Linked DNA regions of Arabidopsis thaliana. The protein of the gene in region 2 interacts with the protein of the main gene of each other region in a pairwise test. Each region holds a gene or a part of one and is shown on either strand. Other genes may lie near its edges.

Region 1 (6,354 bases), 1.9 Mb from region 2:
ATTCTAAACACAATTTCATCATACAAATCCATTATAAATGCATCTAACCTAATGACTGGAGGATCATATACATCAAACCTAACTGCAAAAATGTATCAAAGAGAATCTGTAAAATGTTTAATATGCTTTAAGATTGTCGATTATATAAAAGTATATATAAAGTTAAATGTAAATGGAAGCGCTAACACAAACAAACAATGGAAACCATGTAAAATTTTGGCAATGATGCATCTTTCAATAGAAATAAAATGTTCTTCAAAAGATTATGCATAAACAGTCGAAGCATACAAACAACACAAGATATTTATTAATGTTATCCATATCATATGATGCGAAAACGAAATCACCGAATACCAGAGGAGAAAGATAAGCATTTAGATCACATCAATGCACCAATCGAGAAAATGGAAAATGAAGACAAGATGCACAAAGAGGTTTGTTGGGACTTTACCCCACAATGCTCATTCCCTCTCGTCCTTTCCCAATCATTTCTGTCTCTCTTATAATTGTGCAAACATTGTCATTTACCACCAAAGCAAATGTGCTCTTTCACTGTGCCTTATGTCGCACTAATATCTTTGTGGGCCTCTATAATCATCACAGATTTTGCGGGAAAAGGTAAAAATTCTTAAAAATATATATTGTATAAAATTAAACTGCTCTTCATCTTTTGTCAACATATATATTAAACTACTTCGAACACTGATATGCATTTTAAAGCATTTTTTAGAAAGACTTGAGTTAAACTAGTTTATTTACTGAGTTAATGTTTTTGGATAAATGATTCGTTCAAAAGTGAATATTTGGAACTGATCGATCAAAAGTTTTGTTGACTAGAGATAGACTGAGAGTAAACTACGCTATAGATATTCTGTATGCATTTTTTACAAAGACTTAAGATAAACTTGTTTATTACTGAGTTAATGTTTTCGATAAATAATTTCTTTAAAAGTAAATTTTTGTAGTTGGATCAAAAGTTTTCTTGACTAAAAAATGGACCGAGAGAAAACTACGCTATAAATTTGAAGGTTTGAACTCTTTATGTTTTTGACAAAAATAAGAACCCTTTATGTTCGGTAACTTCGATTAGTTAACTGGACTTCATTTAACTAGTTTAATTTCATTAGTCGATATAATTTTTCTGCCATTTTAATGGTATAAACGCCTATGTTTCAAGGGTAACAGAAAATAAGTATTAAGTTTTTCTCTTCTTTAGTTCGCAATGTGAATACATAGATGATTCCAAAATATGCTTTCTTATATATTTGTAAGAATTTAGTTTGAAAAACAGACATGGTCCTTTAAAATGGAACCTGTGAAAAAATATAAACTTAATTCTTTTAACAAAAAGAAAAGAAAAAGTTTATAACATTTGGGGCACAAATTTGCACCTGATCACTACATTTTAATATGATGACAGCTTTATGGATTATTGAGGTAGTGCACCTGGTGCACGGTAGTTGGTGTGATAGTAACAATTGGAAAAAAAAAAAAAAAAAAATCCCACATATGACTTTTATTTGCACTTTTGAAATTTTTTTTCTTTATTTTTCTTTTAAAAATATATTTTTAATATGTAAAATTACTAAATTAACTTTCTTAAATTAATAACAATTAATCAAAAACATATATATTTTAATATCAAATCAATTTATTTGTAATAATTAAAATAATTCAAAATATATATTTAGGGTAATAAATTTTTGAATTTGTTAGTCTTTTATAACTAACAATTCCAAATCTTTATTGCCCTAAATATGTTTTTCTAAACAATAATGACTAACAATATTCTACCGATATTAAGTCATGATTTTTTTTAAGCCATGTGTTATGGTGCAGATTTTAATATTCATTATTATTGTAAAACATTAAATAATTTACTTTGCAAAAAAAAAAGGAGAATTATTGAATTCAAGCAAAGTTTGGTGATATGTTAAGTTGAAAATTGTGTTTGGACTACTCGAGATTATTTTATTTTATATAAGTCCGATTGGTAACACAAAACTGTACAAAATTTTAGCTGTTAGCTATAACCAAAACTTTTTTTGGAATAGTGCAAAGTTGTACAAAAGAATTATACGAGAAAGCTGTACAGTAAAGTTAAGAGTAAAACTTTTTGTAATGTTTTTGATAAAGTTAATTTTTGCGAATGATAACTCTCAAAATAGTACAAGTTATATCGCTTTGAGAATGTGTTACCATTTAAAACCTATAACATGACAAATATTAAGTGATAGACTTTATAATACTTTTAGATATAGAAAAATTGAGAGATAGAAAATTTCTTCATCCAAAAAGAAAGAGAGAAGTTGGATTCCCAATTTGCGGGATCCCAAAAAAATAAAATCCCCATTAGGCATCATAGTGTGTCCTCACAAGAAGATAGATATCGTGCCATAAATTAGAACTGAGAGTAAGGGGTCTTGGAATCCATCTCTCACTCTCATTCCTCTGTCACTTCCAGAAACCAAACTATTCATCTATCTAAATTGATCTATTTGGCTTAAAGTATCTTAGAGTCATCAAGAGGAAACCCCTTGTCTTTCCAAAAACTTTCTCGATATCATGCTATCACTGACATATTATTGGATATAAGACTTATAAGTCTAATACCCAATTATTGTAGTTTGTGTAGTTGATTGATGTCAAAGTTCATATGGTTTCAAATTTATTGGTAAATATTATGATTGATATCCTTTTTTTGATTTTAAAAATCACCATTTATATATTTTTCAACAACCGTTAAGCAAAAATTTTAAACCAATCTGCGGTAGTTCTTGTAGGCATTTTTCAAGTTTTTTTTAGTGTAGTTTCTTAAAGATACTAAAATTTAATTTATCGTGTCTAGTTTAAATTTGTGTAATTAATGTTCGCTATCTTTCTTTAAAAAAACAAGCACCTTAACATATATATGTGTCTATAACAAAGTAAGTTTGAGTACATAATATTGCATGCAAATATATGCGGCAAAACTAAAAAGTAATAAACGGCAAATGAAAAAAAAAGCTGCTTTAATTCAAATAATTAAATATTCGGAGTGACTCACTTTCTTTTTCCCCAGGGACTTCTTACCTATAAATATAACACCTCACCACACCCATTGTTTCATTCATCTTTCCAGCTTTCTTCACTTTTTCCTTTATATAAAGTTAGAAAAACAAAAAAAACAAAATAGTTAGAAAAAATCTGAGAGAAACAGAAGAAACATAAAAAAAATGAGGCCATTGAGCATTAAACCAACATCGTTAGATGTAGCTAGACATGCCACATCAGTAGAATCATTTGGGAATCACCGACCGCCGATATCGCCGTGGCACTCACCGGTGCCGTACCTATTCGGTGGTCTTGCGGCGATGTTAGGCCTCATAGCCTTCGCTTTACTTATCCTAGCCTGCTCTTACTGGCGCTTGTCAACCTCCGGTGATGACTCCGGCGAAAGAGTCGACGAGGAAAAAGAGAGTCGGTCTGGAGTGAAGGCGGCTAGCGCGGCGTGCGAGGAGAAGGTTCTTGTCATAATGGCCGGAGATGACTTGCCGAGGTTTCTGGCCACGCCGGCGGCGAACAAATGCATGTGCGGTCACGAGGGTAGAATGGTAATTTTCAAGGAGGATGGTATTGGTGCTGGAGAGGAGAAAATGGGAGACAGAGAGAAAGCCAAAGAAAATGAAGAAACAACGAGTCAGTGAGCTTTTTTGTTTTCTTTTCTTCTCTCAGTCTTGTCTTTTTTTTTTTGTTGGGGAATTTTCCTTCGTGTTTTCACGGGAAATGTAAAATTTACTGAGAGAAAATTTTGGGTTATGATTAATGAATGTTTGCTTGTAATTTCCTATCCCCAATGGTGGAAAACTCGTTTTTAGTTTTTGTAATTCTCAAAAGTGTGATAGGTAACCTTTCTCATACAGCTTTAATACCAATCAGTAATAGAGTAAACTAAAACGGAATAACATAATAGTACTTAAAATTCTTACAATTTTATGTCATCACTAAGATCTACAAAAAAATGAATCATAGTATCATAACACTATGTTTGCCCAAAAAAAAAAAAAAAAGTATCATAACACTATTGATCATAAATTCAAAGCTTGCAATGTTTCGATGGAAACGTGATTCATCCCGTACACAAACTGTAATTTTATATACATTTTCAGAAACTAATGTAATGCATTAACCCTTTTGTATTACGTATATATTCTCACATTTTATATTTTGTAAGGAGATTCGTTTAGTTACTTTAATTATGAATTGTTATAATTGTGTCTCCTCCATGTATTTGTGTTACTTTCATATTTTCCTTGCATTTATATATTTTATTTACCATAGGATAGTTCTGAATTTGCTATCAACTTGGATATTTTAAATTAATTGAGACTCCATCTAGTTCACCGTCAAATTTTAACTATACTTGTTTAACTATACTTGTTATATAACGAGTGAATAAACTGGAAATAGTATTACTATTAACTATGAACTTACATTCGTAATATTCGAAAATATGTGCGTGAGTTAGTCTTGTCACAAGAAAAGGAATCATATTCTTTTTTTCATTAAACAAAAATTGGAAACACATATTATGGTATAAATCAAAAGATAATTCGATTACTTGCCCCATTTGCCTGCTTTACTTTCAATTTGATAATATCCCATCAACAAGAGTCTTGTTACATGACCAAATTTTCTTCTGTTCTCACGTTATTAAGTATTTTGAAGTGAAGTGCACTCCAAACAAACGTCTAAAACTTAAGGTTTGTATAATCCTCAATCAAAAACATTTTACAACTTATTTCTATTTTTTTATATTGGGGTCTTTTTCCCAGCTACTAATATACGATCACTTAAGTAATTTTTTGTAAAAATCATTAAAAATCCTAATAAACTCATTTGCGTAGTTCAATTACACACATACATATGTAGTAATATAAATATTATTTTCCGTTTTAAATTATCGTAAATGGAATGTCATTTAGAATTTTAATTTTATTCACCACAAATGTTTTTTTCTGTTTTAATATATTTGTTTGTTAAAATTTATATTTTCGTCGCTAATTAGTCCACTGAAATTATAATCCACAGGCTAGATAATCCACTGATTTCAACAAAGGTGAAAAAATTATATAACTAATATTTGTCCATTAGTAGTAGCTAATTAATTGAAAACGTTTGTTCTCTGAATCGAAAGAGCTGCATAAGAGAAAGGGGACACGTGTCAAAAACAGAGTTTAATATGAAAGCGAAGACAATGATTCTGTTTTGACTTATTTGTCATTTGCTGAGCTGTCTTTAGAGGCGCCGAGTAGCCGCGTCTCCCGCAAGAAAGTTCCAAAGCAATACTTCTTCTTTCATTGCATTCATTTCCCCAACTGTCTCAAACTTTGTGCCGCATAAGCAAAAGGTACAAATAAAATAATAATAAAAATAAAGGATGGCGAAAACAAAATTACTTGTATCAAACAAGAACATTTTGTTAATTTTTCCGAGTGAAAACATCACTTGATATGGATATGCGATTTTAGTTGTTGTAAGTTTCTCTAGCATAATTGATAATTCCTATTAACATCAATTTTGATATAGCATTAGGACTTCAATGTTTTTATTTTTAGGGTTTGTTCTTTTTGACTTCATTAGTCTAGTGGTACTTTAAGACCACTTTTTCACCTCACACATGGATGATCCAGACCTAGTCAAGCTAGGAGTGACTTTTATGTTTATATAATTTATACATGTTAAATTATTTTAGTTTTCTTTTTTAAAGGAGATGAATTTAATTCGGTGTGGATCCCGTCTCTAGAAAATATAGGGTCTTTGGGCTTGAACTTCCAAATATTCGAATAACAAAAAAAATTATTTTAGTTTTTAACCCAAAAAGAAAACATTTGCGATCAAATGTTATTGTAAACAACGCACACTAAAAAGACATTTACCCTTTTCGGTGAAGAGACACAGGGACAGCTACATGCGACCCAAAAAATGAGCTTACCCTCTATTTCACATATGTAAGAATATACTCTAATTAGACTCAGCATGTAGTATAAAGAAGGTGTTGACAAAAAAGCTCAAATAATTCGATAAACTAACAATGCACGGGTACTAATTAACAAGGAATTCTCATAAAATTGAAGGTAAATTTAAACAACAATAAGAGCATCCCAATTAGGTAAGAGATTTAGTTAAGTAATTGCGATCAAGGAAACAAGTACAACAGAAGTGGAAGTCTGTCTCTATATCACTTTCTTCCCTGATGCATAAACTTACCTCTTGTTCACAAACTTTGTTAACATTTTGATAATGCAATGAAATGAAATTAGAAATTCAAAACAAAAATAGAGAAAAGTACAACCAGTGGACTATAGTCCAATT
Region 2 (8,995 bases):
AATTATATACATATTAATTAGAATTTTGCCGCCAACGAATAGCTAATATATGCAAAAAGAAAAAATAAAGATCGTATATCTATCTTAGTTTTTTGTATTTATTTTTATAGTAATTAAAATAAAATATATTTTTGATAAGTAATACAAAAATTTGCCGACGGTTCTTTGGTCCAATAAACACAAACTTGAAAATTGCATATATACTACAAATAGAATATCCTAGATTCTAGAAGTATATTAAAAGTATAATTCAGAACTTATCATTCTACTTGTTTTTTTTTTTTTTTTGAATGTTATTTACATGTTCTCCTTTCAAAACTTGATTTTACTTTTCTTTTGAGTCTTTACATATATAGATATTTGTACACAAAGTGTTCGGCGCAGTACTATTTATGTGGTTATCGTTTGCTATCCTTTGTTGTTCTACGATTAATTATTTTAGGATAATTTATATTTTTTGTTGATACGAAAACCTGTACGGAACAAGAAAGGAAAAATAATGTGTAAATTCAGTGGTGAGTGGTGTTTGTGTATTTGGACTGTATTTTACTTGCCCTTTGGCTAACCCCACACTACACTTTAGTGACCACAAAAAACAAAGACCTTAGTTCATCATTTTTTCTTTGAGATAAATGGGATCCACTGAAAATGTTGTATGGTTGAGTTCTCTTGTCAGCAAGAAAAAATCTAGCAAAGTTAAATTCTTTTCTTTTGTTTAGAAAATATTACCACTTCCATTAGTTAAACAAATACTACGTTTGAGTTTTTCCATTTTTGTTTTATGATGATGAATCTTTTCTCTGTACGATGTGATAGTCAATTACTTTTACGTATTTTGTGTATACACAATGACGATAGAAGATAATACAAAAAATCTTTGCAATAGAAAACAATTGATAACATGATGATTAAGAAAACGATTAAATAATTAATAGTTTCTATAACGAATGGATTAAAAAGAATATTTGACGATCTTTTACCTTTATAAAATGCAAGGTTTTAAATAAAATTTACTCTGGTCACCAAAAACCTTATTTTCTAAACTATTTTTGAAAACTTCATCATATCTTGGACCTTGGTAAATTAAATACTTTAAACTAACGTTATCTTTAGTCAATGAATCACTTAAAATTGACGTATATGGTCGTTCGTTGTGGTGAAAGGGCTGCGTAGTGGATAAGTTGGAGAAGGATCTTTAAAATATAAATCAAATGACATTTGAAGATTAAAATAAAAATAACTTAGTCCGTGACATCCCTAGAAATCCACGTACGCATATACGAACCTCAGATCACTGCAAAATGCAGTAGCCGCTTCGCTGGAACTCCTCAGTTATTCACACTTCAACGTTTCCTCTTCCTTAAGAAACTTCCCTTCGTTTTTTAAAAGTCTTAATATTATTCGTATAATCATCTATTCATCTTTGGTCGGTGATCGCATAATGATGAAATTTTCTTAAGTTATCGTCGTCAGTCTTTTTTCTTTTTCTGTTTCTTTTTGGGTTTGATATTAAGTCTTATGTATATTGTTATAAGAATATAAATGTTCTTACTTTTATTTGTAGACATCTCTGTTCTGATGTTACTTGCTTCACAAACTTTAATTAATAGAAGTGCGTTTGATGTATCTTCTTTCAAATATTGAGTAGGCAAGCACTGAAAGATGAATTCTATATAAATCTATAATAACAATTTAATAAATAAAATCGTATTAATTTTCATGGAAGAATCTATAATTTTTTTTTGGTAAATAATCATCTATAACTTCTTAATGTAGTTTTGTAAAACATCTATCTCTATTGTTCAACTCGACATTCAATATCAGATTCTCCATCTTCATGATGTATTATCGGTTGCGTAGTGAAGCGTTCTTCGCTCGGGCTAAATGACACTCTTCTTAGCTCAAACTCTCTGTTTTGTGATGGGCTTTGTGGCCATGGTGTGATTTGCACAGTTGAAGGGCTCGGAGTCTTGTGAGTCATAGGTGAACTTATATTATGAATGGCACTGTTCTTGAAAGTATGCGAATTCATGTCTTTCTCATCGAAGATTTTGAACAAGAACTTTAGCTTTCTCCACAAGGAATCCTCGGAATCATCACCTAGAGTGTGCCTATGTTCGTACAAGAAAAGAGCCACGAAGACGAGTAATGAAAAAGATATAGCAGTGCCTGCTATTAGAAATAGACCCAAGAAGCTACTGAGGTTGAGACGGTTGGACGAAAGAGCGGTCATTGGATCAGGACAATCATTCTTTTTCGGGAACCATCTGTCCTCGATTTGTTGCGTTACATTGTTTTGTGTCAGATTCAAGATAGCCCTTGAGAATTCTCCCGTCAAAGGTGAATTCTTCGGGAATGCCTACACATTGATCATGGAAACAAAACATGTGTTATTTGTCCCCTTATTTTGTAAAAATACATAGAAAGGAAACAGAAGGTACTTACAAAGCCAAAACCACCAGTCTTAAATGTAGGTTCAACCATGACATATTTAGAGCAGGATTGAGAAAGGATAGCCTTAAGGTAAGCAACTTCGTCGAAAGCTGCTGCGATACCTTTTGATTTCCCCTTGGACAAAAGGTCGTCGGCATCTTTGGCAGAATCAAAAGGCTTTAGCTGATCTTCATGAAATCCTAGCCCTAATAGAATATCTTTAACGAAAGCACCACCTTGGTACCCTACACAATCCCTATTTTTGATGAGATCGTTTACATTTGTGACCGTCGGTTGCAAACTTTGTACCGTGAGGAAAGAGGTGAGACTCGCTGTGTAGCTCTGAGTGAGAACAAGCACTACAAAACACCAGACAACCACCACAAACCTTGCTAAATTGCTCACTACATTCTCACCTATATACACATGCACAAGTTTTCACTTTATCATTACAATCATAAAATAAGTTGAGATATCTAAAAAATATTGACAATGTAATTATGTTTGGAGATAAAAGCTACAAAACGTAAATATTTATCATTATTAGATTCTTGATTGGTGTAAGAACTTACGGTGGGCAAAAACCATGGTGGAGAAGGAGAACCATAAACTAGTGCCGATCTGGTACTGAGGCGGTCCACGGAAGTCGGTGTTGACTCTGTGTTCGAATAGCCACACAACAAAACCAATGAAGACGAAGAAACAACCGGTGGTGACCCATAGCTCTAAGCTCCAAGGTTCGAGGAACACCCATGTGTCCTTATTCTCATTATCTCTCACCGGCACCATCATAGACACTCCTGACTCTGTGAACGGTAACGTGAAGTCAGCGTACAAAGATCTGTTCGCTGTGATGGTTATATCTCCAACAACTGCATCCCATGTCTGCTTCATATATTAGTATAATGTGTTATAAATCTAACATCTAAAAGACATAAAATTAGGGAAATGGTTTACAATATGATTTTGTGAATGTTTAGAATTTTTTGTTTGTAAGTAGAAAAAAAGAAACTAACCTTGTCATATACTTGGTAGACCAAATTGTTGTAGTTATTTGGAGACTCAAAACTGACGTACTCAGGAATGACTAAATATGGCAATTCCTTAAGAGCAGCTTCAAAGATTTCTATGGCATAACCGGTTGGGGTCTTTTTGTTAGTGATCGGATTTATGGTTACCTTAACAAAATCAAAGAAGCCTTTCTTCATTGGAACGCCCACTCTAAGCTTCTTCCCTGGAATCTCCCATCCTTTTGGAACAATTTTTGACTTCCCTGGCCATATCACTGGCCCCAACGTTTTTTTGTTTGAACTTGTTGCATCCATGAGTCCATCTCTTGGTGTCCAAAATCCAATAATCCTCTCTTCATTTCCGACAAAATTTATGATCTCAAACTTTGGTGACTGGAGCTGCCCGTCTATGAGTTTAAACTCTCCTGCCAAACCATTGAATCTTACCTCCGAGAAAGCCTTTTGAAGACTTGGACCATAGAGAGAGACCCCTACGTTCCCCAAATCTGTCCTATTTTTTGACAAGGTGCTCCCATTATCATACCATAAGCTCTTTGTGTTGGCTTTCTCCACAGCCTTAGCCAATGCAGTAATTGAATCATATGCCCATAATGCAAAAACGTTTAGATCATCTCTCATCGATGGATTCTCCTTCTCAAATGTTCTTTTCCATCTCAAACGGAAATCTCCGAGCTCTTTCGATTTGGGGACATGGCTCCTCACACCTAACACGCCCTCTATAGTATTTAAGCTACGACCATTGTTTATATGTCTCATCATATGCGTCATTCCATTGGTCATTAACCATACATACCCTTCCTCCATCATCCCGATATCCCTAGCTATCTGAAAAACCCGTAAAGCGAGACTTGATTCCATGTGGACAACAAATACTCTCGCTTGCCTCTCCATGAGCTTACGAAGTTCTTTCTGAATCTCATCATCGATAGCCTCCGGAGGGATCACACTTCTCTTGACTTCCACGTCTTGTAAAGCGTCAAACAAGAAAGGCATGAATCCTTCACCAAACTCGTTGTCCACATAAATTGCGACGACCCTTCTCCACCTAAAGAATTTGAAAATGGACGCAATGGCCCTGACCTGGGATGAGTCGTCGATAGTGGCTCTGACGAAGTAAGGGCTTTTGATGGATGTCAAAAGAGGGCTTGTTGCAGAGAATGTGATGGTCGGTACTTGAGTTTTGTTGGCCAGTTTGATCATAAAATCTGCTTGCATAGAGTTTATTGGTCCGATGATGGCGCTCACTTGCTCGGTTTTGATTAGGTCCAAGGCTGCTTGCACCACAAGCAACATAAAGAAAAGAAGAAAGGTTAAATATCCTCTGTTTTTGGATATAATATCTTCCATTTTCAATGGAAGAGTTACAACTTATAAGGCTAAGCCATGTTTGTCGAGTCCAAAAGAGCTCTAGTTGCAAAGTAATAAGACAATATTAATTTACATAAATAGTTAAAATTGTAGAGGTATCATAAGACATGTCACCAATAGTTTTCGACTATTCATCTAATATATTAAGACTCATGAGTTAAATATAATTAACGAGACTAATAGTAATCAGGATTTCTGCGACCATACAACCGTCACCATGAATTTCTAGAAGAGAAAAAAATTGGACTTCTCTATCAAGAGATTGCTCTTACCATAGACATTAGACCACATAAGAATACACTTGGTTTTTGAAGTATAGTCTAAAAGATAAATCGTCACCAAGACTCTTAGCATATACCCCCATATGATACTTTGATTTTTAATACTGATCTAAAATATTGGTCACATTCAATAAAATAGTAATTAGCTAAACCATGTCTATACGTAATATGTTTCATTCAACCGCAACTAATAAGTAATAAATCAAAATGACGGGAAGCTGAAGCAAGACATAGAGAAGTAACGAACCTGCAGCTGAAGCCTGAACAGTATCTTCCATGGAATCTCTAACGTGAAGCGTAAGTCTTGTGAGGTAATTTGGATGATCCGCGTAGAAATCGGACACGGCCATCTTTATAGAAGTGAGGCAGATCTTGGAAAATGTTGTATTGAGATCAAGAACTACTCCTACTTTGATTTCACTTGTTTGGTTTTGTCCTAAACCAACCCCCATCAACAAAAAACCGCAAACAAAGTAACTCAAAAAGGTGTTATTAGTTTTCATCATCATAATCGCCCCAAAACTGAGGAGACTTTATGTGATTCTTTAACTTACTTTTTTCCTGTTATATATATACAGTGGAAGGATCGGTTTGAAAGATACTTATAATCAATGAAAGACTTTGAAATACTATGCCAAAAATTGGTTTCTCAACGAAAGAGACATATCGATTTTTTTTTAAAAAAAAGTGTGTTGACTAGAAATTAATAAAACTGGTTTGAAAGAGTCAAATGAGGCTTTTGCAGATGAATTCTCTTTGAAAAGCAAACTACAAAATACCCATAACTTATTAAATAACCAAATCGTCTATTTTATAAAATATAAGGATCGCAATTCTTTCTTTTTTTTACTTTTAGTATTGTAATTGACATATTATAATATCATAATTGAAATAATTAAGAGTTAATTGTGCAAAATAAGATTCTTAACCCTTTTTGAGATCTATTTTTGAGGATAGCCTTTCTGAAGAAAAAAACTAATGTTTTATACATCCATCCCATGCTAATGCACGAGATAAATACTATTGTAAGCTTTTCTTATATAAAAAGAATATATACATTTTATCCAGATTTAATGGTAAATTTAAATATTATAATTTTTTAATAATTGTTTTGGCCAACTTTAAGAATTTTCAAATGTGTTTTGCAATAGGAATTACAATAATCGAAATAGGTTAGAGGTAATATTTGGAAATATATGTGTTTTAAAGAGAATAAGAATAAGCAAAAATGTGTTTGGGAAATGTAATAGGATTAAATTAAAAAAAATGGTTGAGAATAATTATATGCTTGCACACAAAAACACTAAAAATAGCTTATATATGTAGATATGTCCATACAATTAACGCAAAAAAATGCAATGAACCGTTTTTAAAGAATTCTTAGAAATAAAATGTATCAAAAATTGTCGTACTACTATAAAATAAATAAATGTTTTATAGAAGAGTGTATCTTGTAGATATGTGTACTTTGGTGGAATTAGCATACAGAAATTAAAAAATATAGGGTAAGTGAAGTGAGTTTCCCTCCAAGATTTTTAATTTTATTTTTTACGAGCAGTCGGAAATTAACGGAATTTTCTTAGTTTGGATTTATTCAGATTTAGTTTGTTCAACTATGCCATACACAATATGATTGTCCGTTGTAGAACAACATTCTCTTACGCATGTTCGAGAATAGGTCAAGAAGACGTATAATATGGGCAAATCGAAAACAAATATTCGTCAACATTATTTTTTCCAAAACAATGAAAATACATTAATCCTAAATTACAGTACATGATTTTGGATATAACTGAAGAATCTACATTTACGTGGGTGATGACGACATAAACAATTTTTTATGGTTGATATACAATAGTCTAATTTCTTAAAATTCTGTTGTGTTGAAGAATTGATTAAATTGAAATGCATTTGGTCCGATTTAAGTCATTAAAGGGTAACTGGAGGACGTTGAGTTGTTTAGCTTGGGTTATAAAGCTAAAAAAGTCTCCAATTCGAAGAGAGGGTTTCGCTAAAGGACAACCACTTCGTGAAAGGCAGTGATTGCTTTTACATAACTATGTGTACCTTTATCTTTCTTCCTCTGTTACGCTTCTTCTTGCTTGAGATTGTGATATTGTAGAGCTATGAGCATTTGCAAATAATGATATAGTAAATTATTGGATCTTTTGGCCGAGATGTAAGAATCACGCATGGTGGATGGATCATGAATGACCAGAGCCCTCTTTCACGACCCTGGTTGGGAATGGATGCGAATAGTTATCCTCGTTTATTTGGAACTAGGAACTTTCCTTAAAGTCACTTGCCACTATGTACATATGAAGTTTTTAGAGTTGCTATATTTTTGCAATGCAATCCTATTAATATAAACTTTGTTATAAATAAAAGAATAATAGCTTTGTTAGGAATATATGCAGCGAACTTAGCTTATCCTATCTATAACTTGTTATGGAATCTTCTAAACTTATCTCTATTGTTCAACAACACATTCAATATCAGATTCTTCATCTTCAAAATGTATAGTTTGCGTAGTTAACCGTTCTTCATTCGGGGTAAATGACACTCTTCTTAGTTCAAACGCCCTGTCTTGTGATGGGCTATGTGGCCGTGGTGCGATTTGCAAAGTTGAAGGGCTCGGAATGTACTGAGTCATAGGTGAACTCACATGATGAACAGCGCTGCTCTTGAAAGTATGCGACTTTATGTCTTTCTCATCGAAGTTTCTGAATAAAGACGTTAGCTTACGCCATATCGAATCTTCGGAATCATCACATAGTGTATGCCTATTTTCGTACAAGAAAAGAAACACGAAGATGAGTAGTGCCAAGAATGAAGCAATGCCTGCTATTAGAAACAGACCCCAAAAGCTACGAAGGCTTAGACGGTTCGACGAAAGAGCGGTCTTTGGATCAGGACAATCATTTTGTTTCATGAACCATTTGTTCTCGATGTGTTGCATTTCATCTCCTTGAGTCACATTTAAGATAGCCTTTGAGACATCTCCTGTCAAAGGTGAATTCCTGGGGAATGCCTACACATTGATCAAGGAAACAAGCAATGAATACTCGAACTGTCTTTTTTTTTTTTTCCTAGTTTGAAATTTTCATATATAAGGGAAAAAAAAAAGAAACTTACAAAGCCAAAACCAGCAGTCTTAAATGTAGGCTCAACAATGGCATATTTGGAGCAGTATTGAGAAAGGATAGCCCTAAGGTAAGCAACTTCGTCGAAAGCTGCTGATATACTACCATTGGACAAAAGCGCGTGACATTCTTCGGAAGACCCAAAAGGCTTGAGCTTAGAAACATTAAATCCCTCTTTTATTAGAAAATCTTTAACAAAAGCCCCGTGTTGATAGCCTACATAGTCCCCATTTTTTATGAGATCTTTCACATTTATGGCCGCTGGTTGAAAACGTTGCACCGTCAAGAAAGAGGTGAGATTTGCTGTGTAGCTCTGAGTGAGCACAAGCACCACAAAGCACCATACAACCACCACAAACCTTGCTAAGTTGCTCACTACCTTCTCACCTATATGCACACACACAAATTACTTCATCATTAGGATCTTGATTCTTGTTAATAAAAAAATTATCACATTGAAAATAAGTTGACATTTAATATATAAACAATGTAACAATAGTCTCATTTTACATAATATAGTTTTCAAAAGAAAGTTAACATTTATCATTATTGGTGTAAGAACTTACGGTGGGCAAAAACCATGGTGGAGAAAGAGAACCAAAAACTAGTGCCGATCTGGTGGTGAGGCGGTCCACGGAAGTCGGTGTTGACTCTATGTTCGAACAACCACACAACAAAACCAATGAGGACGAAGAAACAAGCAGTGGTGACCCATAAGTCTAAGCCCCAAGGTTTGAGG
Region 3 (9,133 bases), on a different chromosome or scaffold from region 2:
CACACGTAGTTTACTTTACTTGTTTTTAAAAATGGTTTACACACTTTTTACTAAATTAATTGGATTGCAAATATGAAGTGGATACGTTACGAAGTCGACCAAGACGCCAAGACCGACTCTTCACCAGTATTGAGCCACGTGTCTTCTGCCAATTGTTTTGCGAGGATACTTTTTGGCATCGGACTGGTGCATCTACATGACGTGGCCTCTTGTTTAATCGTCACCTGGCTTTCCAATTTCCAAATAAAATCTACTAAGCTCTTGCTATTTTAAGCTTTTTATCTGCTACCATATGTTTCAAGTTTTGATATTATCTTCAAAAATATGGGAAAATAAATACAGAAAAATCAAAAAAAATAACTGTGAGTATGAAAAATATGGGGCGATTATTGGATGATAAAAAGAAGGTATGAAATTTCTGAATTGAAAAAAATACATAGAAAGGAAATTAGAAGAGGGGATAAATTGGTGAGGTAAATTTTGAATCAAACATTAAATTAACAAAAATGTAGTAAAATAGGGGGAAAAAAAAGTTTTTTTTTTTTTTTTGGAAATGTGTATGGGCTAGTAGCCCAAAAACAAGGAAAACACAAACTATTGGACTGGACTGATCAAAATAGTTAATGAGCGGTTTTGGTTTATGTAAAAAAGAGAATGGGCCTTTTAGATAGACTCTTTAAATAGAATTTGACAATCTCTTAAGTTATCTATTTATGGATAAATAAGTGATCCAACTTTAACTAGGTGAATTTGACAATCTTAAACTAGTAGGGAGTCTCACTCATGAACATTTTACATATTTATTTTTAAAATACTACACTTTCTTGAATACACAGCTTTTTTTTTGGGTGATATAATAAGGTATCTTCAAAAATTTATATATGAAATCAGATCCTAATATCTTGCTTTTACTGAAACCAAAAATTGTGTTTACAAAACGGCTCACATATCGGATTGGCACTCAAAAGTCAAATCACATATTTTGCCACGGATTTTATATAACTTCAAATATATGGAGAATGGAATTTTTGTATTTTTCAATTAGAAAAAAATACTATAGGGAAAACAGAGATGGGCAGGTCTGGCACAGGGCGTGTGAGACGTGGTCGGATTGAGGCAACCTGAATTTTGCATCTTATCTAAAATTCAGATTTGACCATCCCACTCACTGTATAAACCACTCCACATTATCTTTTTTATTTATTTCATTATTACTCTTTTGTGTACCCAAAAATGTGAGACTTATTGGTGACCATACAAGTCATAATTTATTCTTGTCGAAATTAATTTATATATAAATGTATGCGTATGTGTGTTGTAGATACGAATATGTGTCAACGTTGCTGACACTAATCTAATTATCATTATTGTGAACAAAGAGAGGCTTAAGAGTGTTCGATTGAAGTAGATATTTAATACTATTTGTTTGGATAAGGTAGTGTTAATTCAATGCAGTGCGCGGCCAACCAAAAAATAAAAAGATCAATTGCAACGTGTATCCAGTTACGGGTATGATTGGGAGCGATAGAACTTTTACATAAACATACACAAATCATTCTACAACACTTTTTAATCAAGTTTCATAGATGGTTAGATGAGTTCTATTCGAATTAACCTTATAGTGAGTTTTGGTGTGGTAAAAATAGTGTTGATTTTGGATTACATATACACATGCGGTTAGTTGGTGGTGTTGGTGATTTTGGATTTTGGATTTCAGTGAACAGCATCAAAGGCTCCGAGTTCGACCCATGAAAATAAAATCAGTCAATCCATTGCTTCTTCTTCATCTTAAAGCGTCGAGTCTAATGCCGATTTCTCTATGGAGAATACTCATCAGGATCATGATACAACCTGCAAACATGTTGCGTTGCCCTTATCACAGAGAACAGATCACTCATCTTTTTTTTCAAGAACTCACTCATGCATATTACCACTCACACATACTATCAAATAACACGGCACTAACACTAAAACAAATTACTAAGTTACAAACTGTACCAACACAAGATTTGCGGTTATTTATTCCTCTAAGTACCAAACTATTCGTGTCCTCGTTTTAAAACATTTAAATGCAGAGACAAAATCAGTTGAAGAAGACCTTAATTAGCTGCAAATATGCGATAATATTTTCCTAGTAATGCCAAGTTGCCAACTATAAAAAATGAGAAGATTGTCGAAAAGAACCAACTAATTACAAAAACTCATTTCCTCAAATTCTGGTCACGCTTCGCTTTAAACCTGTGTGCTTATCCATTGAAAACAAAACAACATCCCACGTGTCACCTTCTTTGCCACACGTGTGAATCTTAAACCACACATAGCCGTTAGAGGTAACGTCGTTACCGTGTCTTATGATATACGGAAGTTAACGCCGTTTGTTTAGTTTTTTCTTTTTAACGTCCGTGACGGTTTCATAACCTCGGGAACTAAGTAAGGAAGAGCTTTTGAAGCAGAGAGTCGTTACGTTTCAAACAACCGATCATAGTCATAGACACAATTATGGTATTAATTTCATTAATTAGTACTAATTCCCTATCAATTACAAGGAACGCAATTACAAAATTTTGTCTATAATAACATCAATTTTAGACCCTCATTTCAAGGAAAAATGTGGGAATGATTCTCCAATGACATATTTATGATTAAAAAGTTCATTTCTCAGGTTCGAAATATTTTGACCATTTTGAAATATACTAATAATGTTGTTTAAAAACATATCTTATTAGAATGTTTATATGGTGTTATAGTGTTGAGATATTTTTTTTAAATATAAATAATTGAGTACAAATCTATAAATTTAAACAATAAAGAGTGTTATTAACAATTAATGATAAGTAGTAAAAAAAAAAGAATATTCTTCAATAAAAACCGTAATTCATTTTTTTCCTATTTTTTAAAAAACAAAACAAAATAAGATAACCATAGGAAATGCCACTCTGTTACAACTCAGCAGTCTAATGATATTTAATAAAATACCAATTTTAGTGGTTTATGGTCAACAAAAATAGTTTACAAGCTTAGCTAGATGTGAATACATACTATATACTACCAAACTAGTTTATGATTTGTATATGAATCAATAAAAGCGTTAGCATAATTAGTATATATAAATGTAACTGTAATTGGACCAAAGAGATAAAGCATCTTGGGTTTAGTAAGCTTTTGAGCTGATGATGCTTATGTGATTAATGTGAATATAAGAATTAGGGAACAATCTTGTTGTTAATAACAATACTTATAACATTTAAATGCCCTTAAGTATCGTCATAATTACATCTTTGTCCCTATCCTTCTCTTTTTCACTTTTCCTAATCTCTAATATAAAACCAACTCTTGTCAAATTCAACAAAATTCTCACACAAACCGACCCGACCCGAATCTGGCCGGTGAGAAAATGGAGGTCCAAAGCAGCAGCAACAATGGTGGTCACTCTTCTTTCTCCAGTCTCCGCGTCTACCTCAACTCTCTTTCCGCGACGCCTTCTCGCTTATCCCGCCGCGCTATTTCCGTCTCCACCTCTTCCGACGAGATGAGTCGCGTCCGCGCCGTCTCCGGCGAACAGATGCGCCGTACTCTCCGGTGGTACGATCTCATTGGACTCGGAATCGGGGGAATGGTCGGCGCCGGTGTCTTTGTCACCACCGGCCGTGCTAGTCGTCTCGACGCCGGTCCTTCAATTGTCGTCTCTTACGCCATCGCCGGGCTCTGCGCTCTCCTCTCCGCTTTCTGTTACACCGAATTCGCCGTCCATCTCCCGGTCGCCGGCGGTGCCTTCAGCTACATCCGTATCACATTCGGTTAGTCTCCCGCGAAAATCATCACTACTCCTCCGATCTGTTCACGGTTTTCTGAAAATTTTAATTTCAAAATCAAAAACCGTAACTGATTTCTTTTCTGTTACATTTCCGTTCAGGTGAATTTCCAGCATTTTTCACCGGAGCAAATCTTGTAATGGATTACGTAATGTCAAACGCGGCCGTTTCGAGAAGCTTCACCGCTTATTTAGGAACAGCTTTCGGGATCTCAACTTCCAAGTGGCGATTCGTCGTCTCCGGTTTACCGAAAGGATTCAACGAGATTGATCCAGTCGCAGTTCTCGTCGTCCTCGTAATCACAGTCATCATCTGTTGCAGTACAAGAGAGAGTTCCAAAGTGAACATGATAATGACTGCATTTCACATCGCATTCATATTCTTCGTGATCGTGATGGGATTCATAAAAGGAGATTCAAAGAATCTATCCTCACCGGCGAATCCAGAGCACCCCTCGGGATTTTTTCCGTTCGGCGCGGCGGGAGTTTTCAACGGAGCTGCCATGGTTTACTTAAGCTACATAGGATACGACGCCGTTTCAACCATGGCGGAAGAAGTTGAAAATCCGGTCAAAGATATCCCCGTCGGTGTTTCCGGCTCCGTCGCAATCGTCACCGTTCTTTACTGTCTCATGGCAGTCTCTATGTCAATGCTTCTGCCATACGATCTGGTCCGTACTTCAAATTTATTATTTTCTTATTGTATATTTCCGTTTTCATAAAGACGGCACGTAGTCTGAGTCTAAAGCTGAAAACGGCGGGGCATGTGTTGTTGTAACGCAGATAGATCCGGAGGCGCCGTTTTCCGCGGCGTTCAGAGGATCGAACGGCTGGGAATGGGTGACGAAAGTGGTGGGGATAGGAGCAAGCTTTGGGATATTAACATCACTTTTGGTGGCAATGTTAGGTCAGGCTCGCTACATGTGTGTCATCGGACGGTCCAGAGTGGTCCCCTTTTGGTTCGCTAAGATTCATCCCAAAACATCTACGCCAGTCAACGCCTCCACTTTTCTTGGTACGTTTCTTTGTCTTCATTCATTCATCAAAAAAACATTTATTTAATTACTGTCAAACAAACAATGATGAAATATAATCAAATCATATATAGTTAAAAATAAATTTTGGTCCAGAAAGTGAGATAGAGGAGTAGTAGTTAGGTTAAAAGGGGACCCCAATGAGAACCGTTTCGGTTGTTTCCATGATCTTTTTATTGATTTGAACTTTTAACGTTTTCTCTAAATCATACGATCCACGTGATTTCATTATATATACGTGTCCATTTCAATATATTTTAAAGATCAAAAGCTTTTGGACGTTACCATTTTAAAAATCTTCTGCTATCGATTTCGATCGTGACAAGGGCTATGTACGTTGTGTAAGTATATCTCAATGTAGGGACATGGTTCAATGTGATTTGTATCATTGTATGGTGTTTAAGACAAGAGTCACAGAGAGAGCATCTGAGTCCGATTGCTAGATGTCGTTGTTCACCACTGGTTTTCTTTTCTGCTCTGTGAAAAGTTTCGTGTTTTTTGATTGTTCAAAGATTCAATCTTTTCAACGGTCTTGATTGTGATGGATTTGGTGGGTCTCTTTGGTTCTTTTTGTGTCTCCTTAGTGTTAAAAATACATATTCCACTTTTTTTTAAATAAAAATACGATAGTTGGATTATTAGTCATCCATTGGACGACTAGTAGTTAATCAATCATTTTTTTATTTCATTTTTTTTGTGAAGATACTACTAAGCCTAGTCGGCTGATATTTTGACAACTCCAACTTTTCGTAATTTCCGGAACATCTGGCTGAGCTATGCAACTCGTGAGTTGTTAGGTACCAGGATTTAGAATAATGACCATCTTTGATAAAATACATAGAAGATTGGAAAACATATACTAACGTTTAGAGCCATATTTATATGCATAATCTTTGTAACAAGCATTGTTTTCCTCATTAAGTTACTCTCATGCCTTTGTCACAAAATGGATCATTATAAAGGGGGTCATCATCGTTCAACCTTATCCTTGCTAATTTTAGCACCCACTAACTCACATTTGCTATATCCATCAATAGCATTGACAAAAAGACAAAATAAAGGAACAAATCCTCCCACTACCATTCATTTCAAATTTGGACTTTTTTCACTAGTCGAATCATCTACAGTTATAGAGAATATGACCATTGACCAATCTTATTAACGTTCGTATATTTTATCCCTTATCAGGCATTTTCACGGCGGCTCTTGCGCTTTTCACCGACCTAAACGTCCTCCTAAACCTCGTATCCATTGGAACACTATTTGTCTTCTACATGGTCGCAAACGCTCTCATCTTCAGACGTTACGTCCCGGTTGGACCCACCAAGCCGTGGCCCACACTCTGCTTCCTCACACTATTCTCCATAACCTCTCTCGTCTTCACCCTCATCTGGAAACTTGTGCCGGAAGGTAAGCCTAAAGCTTTCATGCTCGGTGCCAGTGCGGTGGTGGCTATAGCCATCGTGCTGAGCTTTCAGTGCGTGGTTCCCCAGGCTAGGAAACCTGAGTTGTGGGGAGTCCCGTTCATGCCGTGGACCCCGTGCGTGTCGATATTCTTGAACATTTTTTTGCTTGGTTCGTTGGACGCACCCTCTTACGTCCGGTTTGGATTCTTCTCCGGTTTGATCGTGCTCGTGTATTTGTTTTATGGCGTTCATGCGAGTTCTGATGCTGAAGCGAATGGATCTTTTGGTGTGAAAGATGGACAAGTCATGAAAGAGCTAATTGAAGTGTGAAAAGTATTTATTTAGTTTAGTTTTCTAAAGCATCATGAACCAAAATGTAATTAAACTCTCTAATTTTTTTTCTACATGAGGGGGTTTGAAATATTAATGAGAAAATATTAAATACAACTTTAGGAAAAAAAAGAATATGTATTTTGGTTTAACGAACGACCAAAATGAAATCGGTCATATGCAAGTCAATCTGTTGAGAGAATAGAGAAACTGATGATATTTTTGTTTTACCGTTGTGTACAATTCACAACACACAATATTTTTAAATACAGTACAAACTATTAGGTTACAAGTTTTTGAGATTGAAAGATCAAATCTTTGTCAAACCTATAAGGCAAGATCACGTATGAAATATACATGTGATAGATAACATTAATAAATGGAAACGTTAGATAGACATAGGTCTCTCATAAATACGAGATGGCGTACAATTGAAAACGATGGGTCCCCATCTTTCTCACGGGACACACATACGTGACATTATCCGCAACTTCATATATATCCAACAAGATCACCTTTTCTTTTTCATTTTTTTGTTCACAATCACTTGTTTCAAATTCCTTGAGGATATTTATACATTCTTTTATTATTTGCATTTATATATTCTATATATCAATAGTACTATTGAACTTTCGTAAACAAAGAACCATGCACAAAAAGTTTCAGTTTATTAAAGATGTCTTCATTTTTCTACTTTTATTTCTTATCAAGTATGATTTAGTTTATCTTATTGATTTCATAAAGATGAATGTCTAAGGTAGGATCGAATATGTGATCTCAATTAGTATAATCAGTCCAATTATTCTTTTAGTGAACACTACCAATAGGCAATAATTATGTGAGTAATTTAGTTAGGATAACATACATAATTACATTTTTATATATTTTGAAGTGGATGATATAAATCTCGAATCTAAATGAACTGTGTTTAAGTGGGAGACGACACTTGCTTGTATTCTCTCTCTTTTTGGTAACTATATTCGTAAGGATGGGGTCCAAAGAAAAGCCCAATATTTTCAAGATCGTCACATTGTTGGAAGCTTTATTTTTACATTATTTATGGATTTGTTTATAAGAAATATTCTGCCAATAAGAAGATGTGATTCTATTGGCAATACAAAGATTTGATGTCTTTCTAGAAACCCCACTTTACTCAAAGTAATGAGTTCCCTCTGTAAAAGGGTTCAACTCTAAGCGTGATCAGTGCTTCTTTTTAAAACTTTCCTTTATCCTAATTACAAACCTTAATATTGGATTCTACATTGGATTAACTACCAAAATTTTGACTTTTGAGGTTTACAAAAAGACAACATGTATTTTGTTTAACAACGGCCATGAAAGAACCTATTTTCTTCATTTTTTTTTTTTTTTGGTACAACCTGTCTAAACTAACAAAATATCTTGGATTTAGGATCATTATTATTGCATTATAATTATCGGCTATCAATTTCTGAAATGCACTAGAGTAAATGAAGAAAACTAGAGCTTAATCCTTGATTAAATAAATTATATAGAACACGGGACCACGAAAATGTCAACCTCTTATAAACCATTCAAAGCAAAATCTAAGGCAAGTTGTGTAGAAGATAGAGTGAGCCCATTAATCCATAGCTATATAGGTCTAATCAATTATTTCACTTTTTTGTTGACATTTTTATCACGAAATTTTTTTCCGACTTCTCATGAGCTTTGACATTCGCTTAAAGAAAAAAAGATCTTTATGTATAAAATAGTGTTTTCCAAAAAAGAAATCATAAGAGGAAAGATAGGAAGAAGGATAAGACTTTGATTCTCACCAAACAGCGAAGTTTTTGGCAACTTGCAACACCCTCCACATTTTAATTATCCAAATAAAGTTAAATAAAAAGTTAAACTTAGACATTCTATTCCATGATGTTAAAATCTTGTCGTCAAGTTGGTCTTACTCATATTTCAACATTCTTAATCATACAAATACGGAATCGCAAATCTTATTTATCTGCTTTCTTTCACCAATTGTAATAGATTATTATATTTTGAACAAACAACATTTATGACTTTACAATTTAACAAATATAAGATAGAAAAAAACAAGTTAAAAATATATAATCATCTGTTAATATGGCATTAACCATTCCCGCCAAATTTCCAAATAAGTTGTATAACAAAAAAAAAGAGCAGACTTGAGAAAAAGCCCATCAATATTCGAATGTGATAGTACACTTTAGGCATTTAGGCCTTTGGCCCAAACTAAGTATGTTGTCTCCTTCGCTGCCAAGGATGAACATTCTTGGTTTCACGGTGAACTTCTTGATCCGATGCAAAGTCTTACCCAGAAGAAGCAATACGAGTTCTCTCTCCCGAAACATCTCCGTACTCGCCAGTTATGATCAGGAGGAAGTATCACCGGGACGATATAGCAATGAGTTTTCGAATCGTAACTTGGTGCACGAAATTTTACAGCTTTGTGCTAGAAACGGAGCTGTTATGGAAGCAAAAGCTTGCCATGGGAAGATTATTCGTATTGATTTGGAGGGAGATGTTACTCTGTTGAATGTTCTTATTAATGCTTA

What was found. The genes of interacting proteins can lie anywhere in the genome.
Region 1: the proteins of GLR2.9 (region 2) and GDU4 interact in a protein complementation assay, tested with the Arabidopsis thaliana proteins (one large-scale study listed by BioGRID).
Region 3: the proteins of GLR2.9 (region 2) and CAT6 interact in a protein complementation assay, tested with the Arabidopsis thaliana proteins (one large-scale study listed by BioGRID).

The regions. Positions count from the first base shown.
Region 1 is NC_003071.7:10,556,264-10,562,617, forward strand, and holds GDU4 (glutamine dumper 4), read left to right. Parts: upstream 1-2,909; 5' UTR 2,910-3,215; coding exon 3,216-3,686; 3' UTR 3,687-3,976; downstream 3,977-6,354. UniProt on the Arabidopsis thaliana protein: Probable subunit of an amino acid transporter involved in the regulation of the amino acid metabolism. Stimulates amino acid export by activating nonselective amino acid facilitators.
Region 2 is NC_003071.7:12,499,297-12,508,291, forward strand, and holds GLR2.9 (glutamate receptor 2.9), read right to left. Parts: upstream 5,649-8,995; 5' UTR 5,623-5,648; coding exon 5,361-5,622; intron 4,736-5,360; coding exon 3,450-4,735; intron 3,319-3,449; coding exon 3,006-3,318; intron 2,850-3,005; coding exon 2,446-2,849; intron 2,360-2,445; coding exon 1,796-2,359; downstream 1-1,795. Other genes in the region: GLR2.8 (glutamate receptor 2.8), read right to left, coding at 7,584-8,144, 8,249-8,643, 8,823-8,995. UniProt on the Arabidopsis thaliana protein: Glutamate-gated receptor that probably acts as a non-selective cation channel. May be involved in light-signal transduction and calcium homeostasis via the regulation of calcium influx into cells.
Region 3 is NC_003076.8:1,375,724-1,384,856, forward strand, and holds CAT6 (cationic amino acid transporter 6), read left to right. Parts: upstream 1-2,897; 5' UTR 2,898-3,394; coding exon 3,395-3,797; exon of another isoform or gene 3,798-3,913; coding exon 3,914-4,482; intron 4,483-4,594; coding exon 4,595-4,826; intron 4,827-5,547; coding exon of another isoform or gene 5,548-5,579; exon of another isoform or gene 5,580-6,033; coding exon 6,034-6,581; 3' UTR 6,582-6,755; downstream 6,756-9,133. Other genes in the region: AT5G04780 (Pentatricopeptide repeat (PPR) superfamily protein), read left to right, coding at 8,817-9,133. UniProt on the Arabidopsis thaliana protein: Permease involved in the transport of the cationic neutral or acidic amino acids.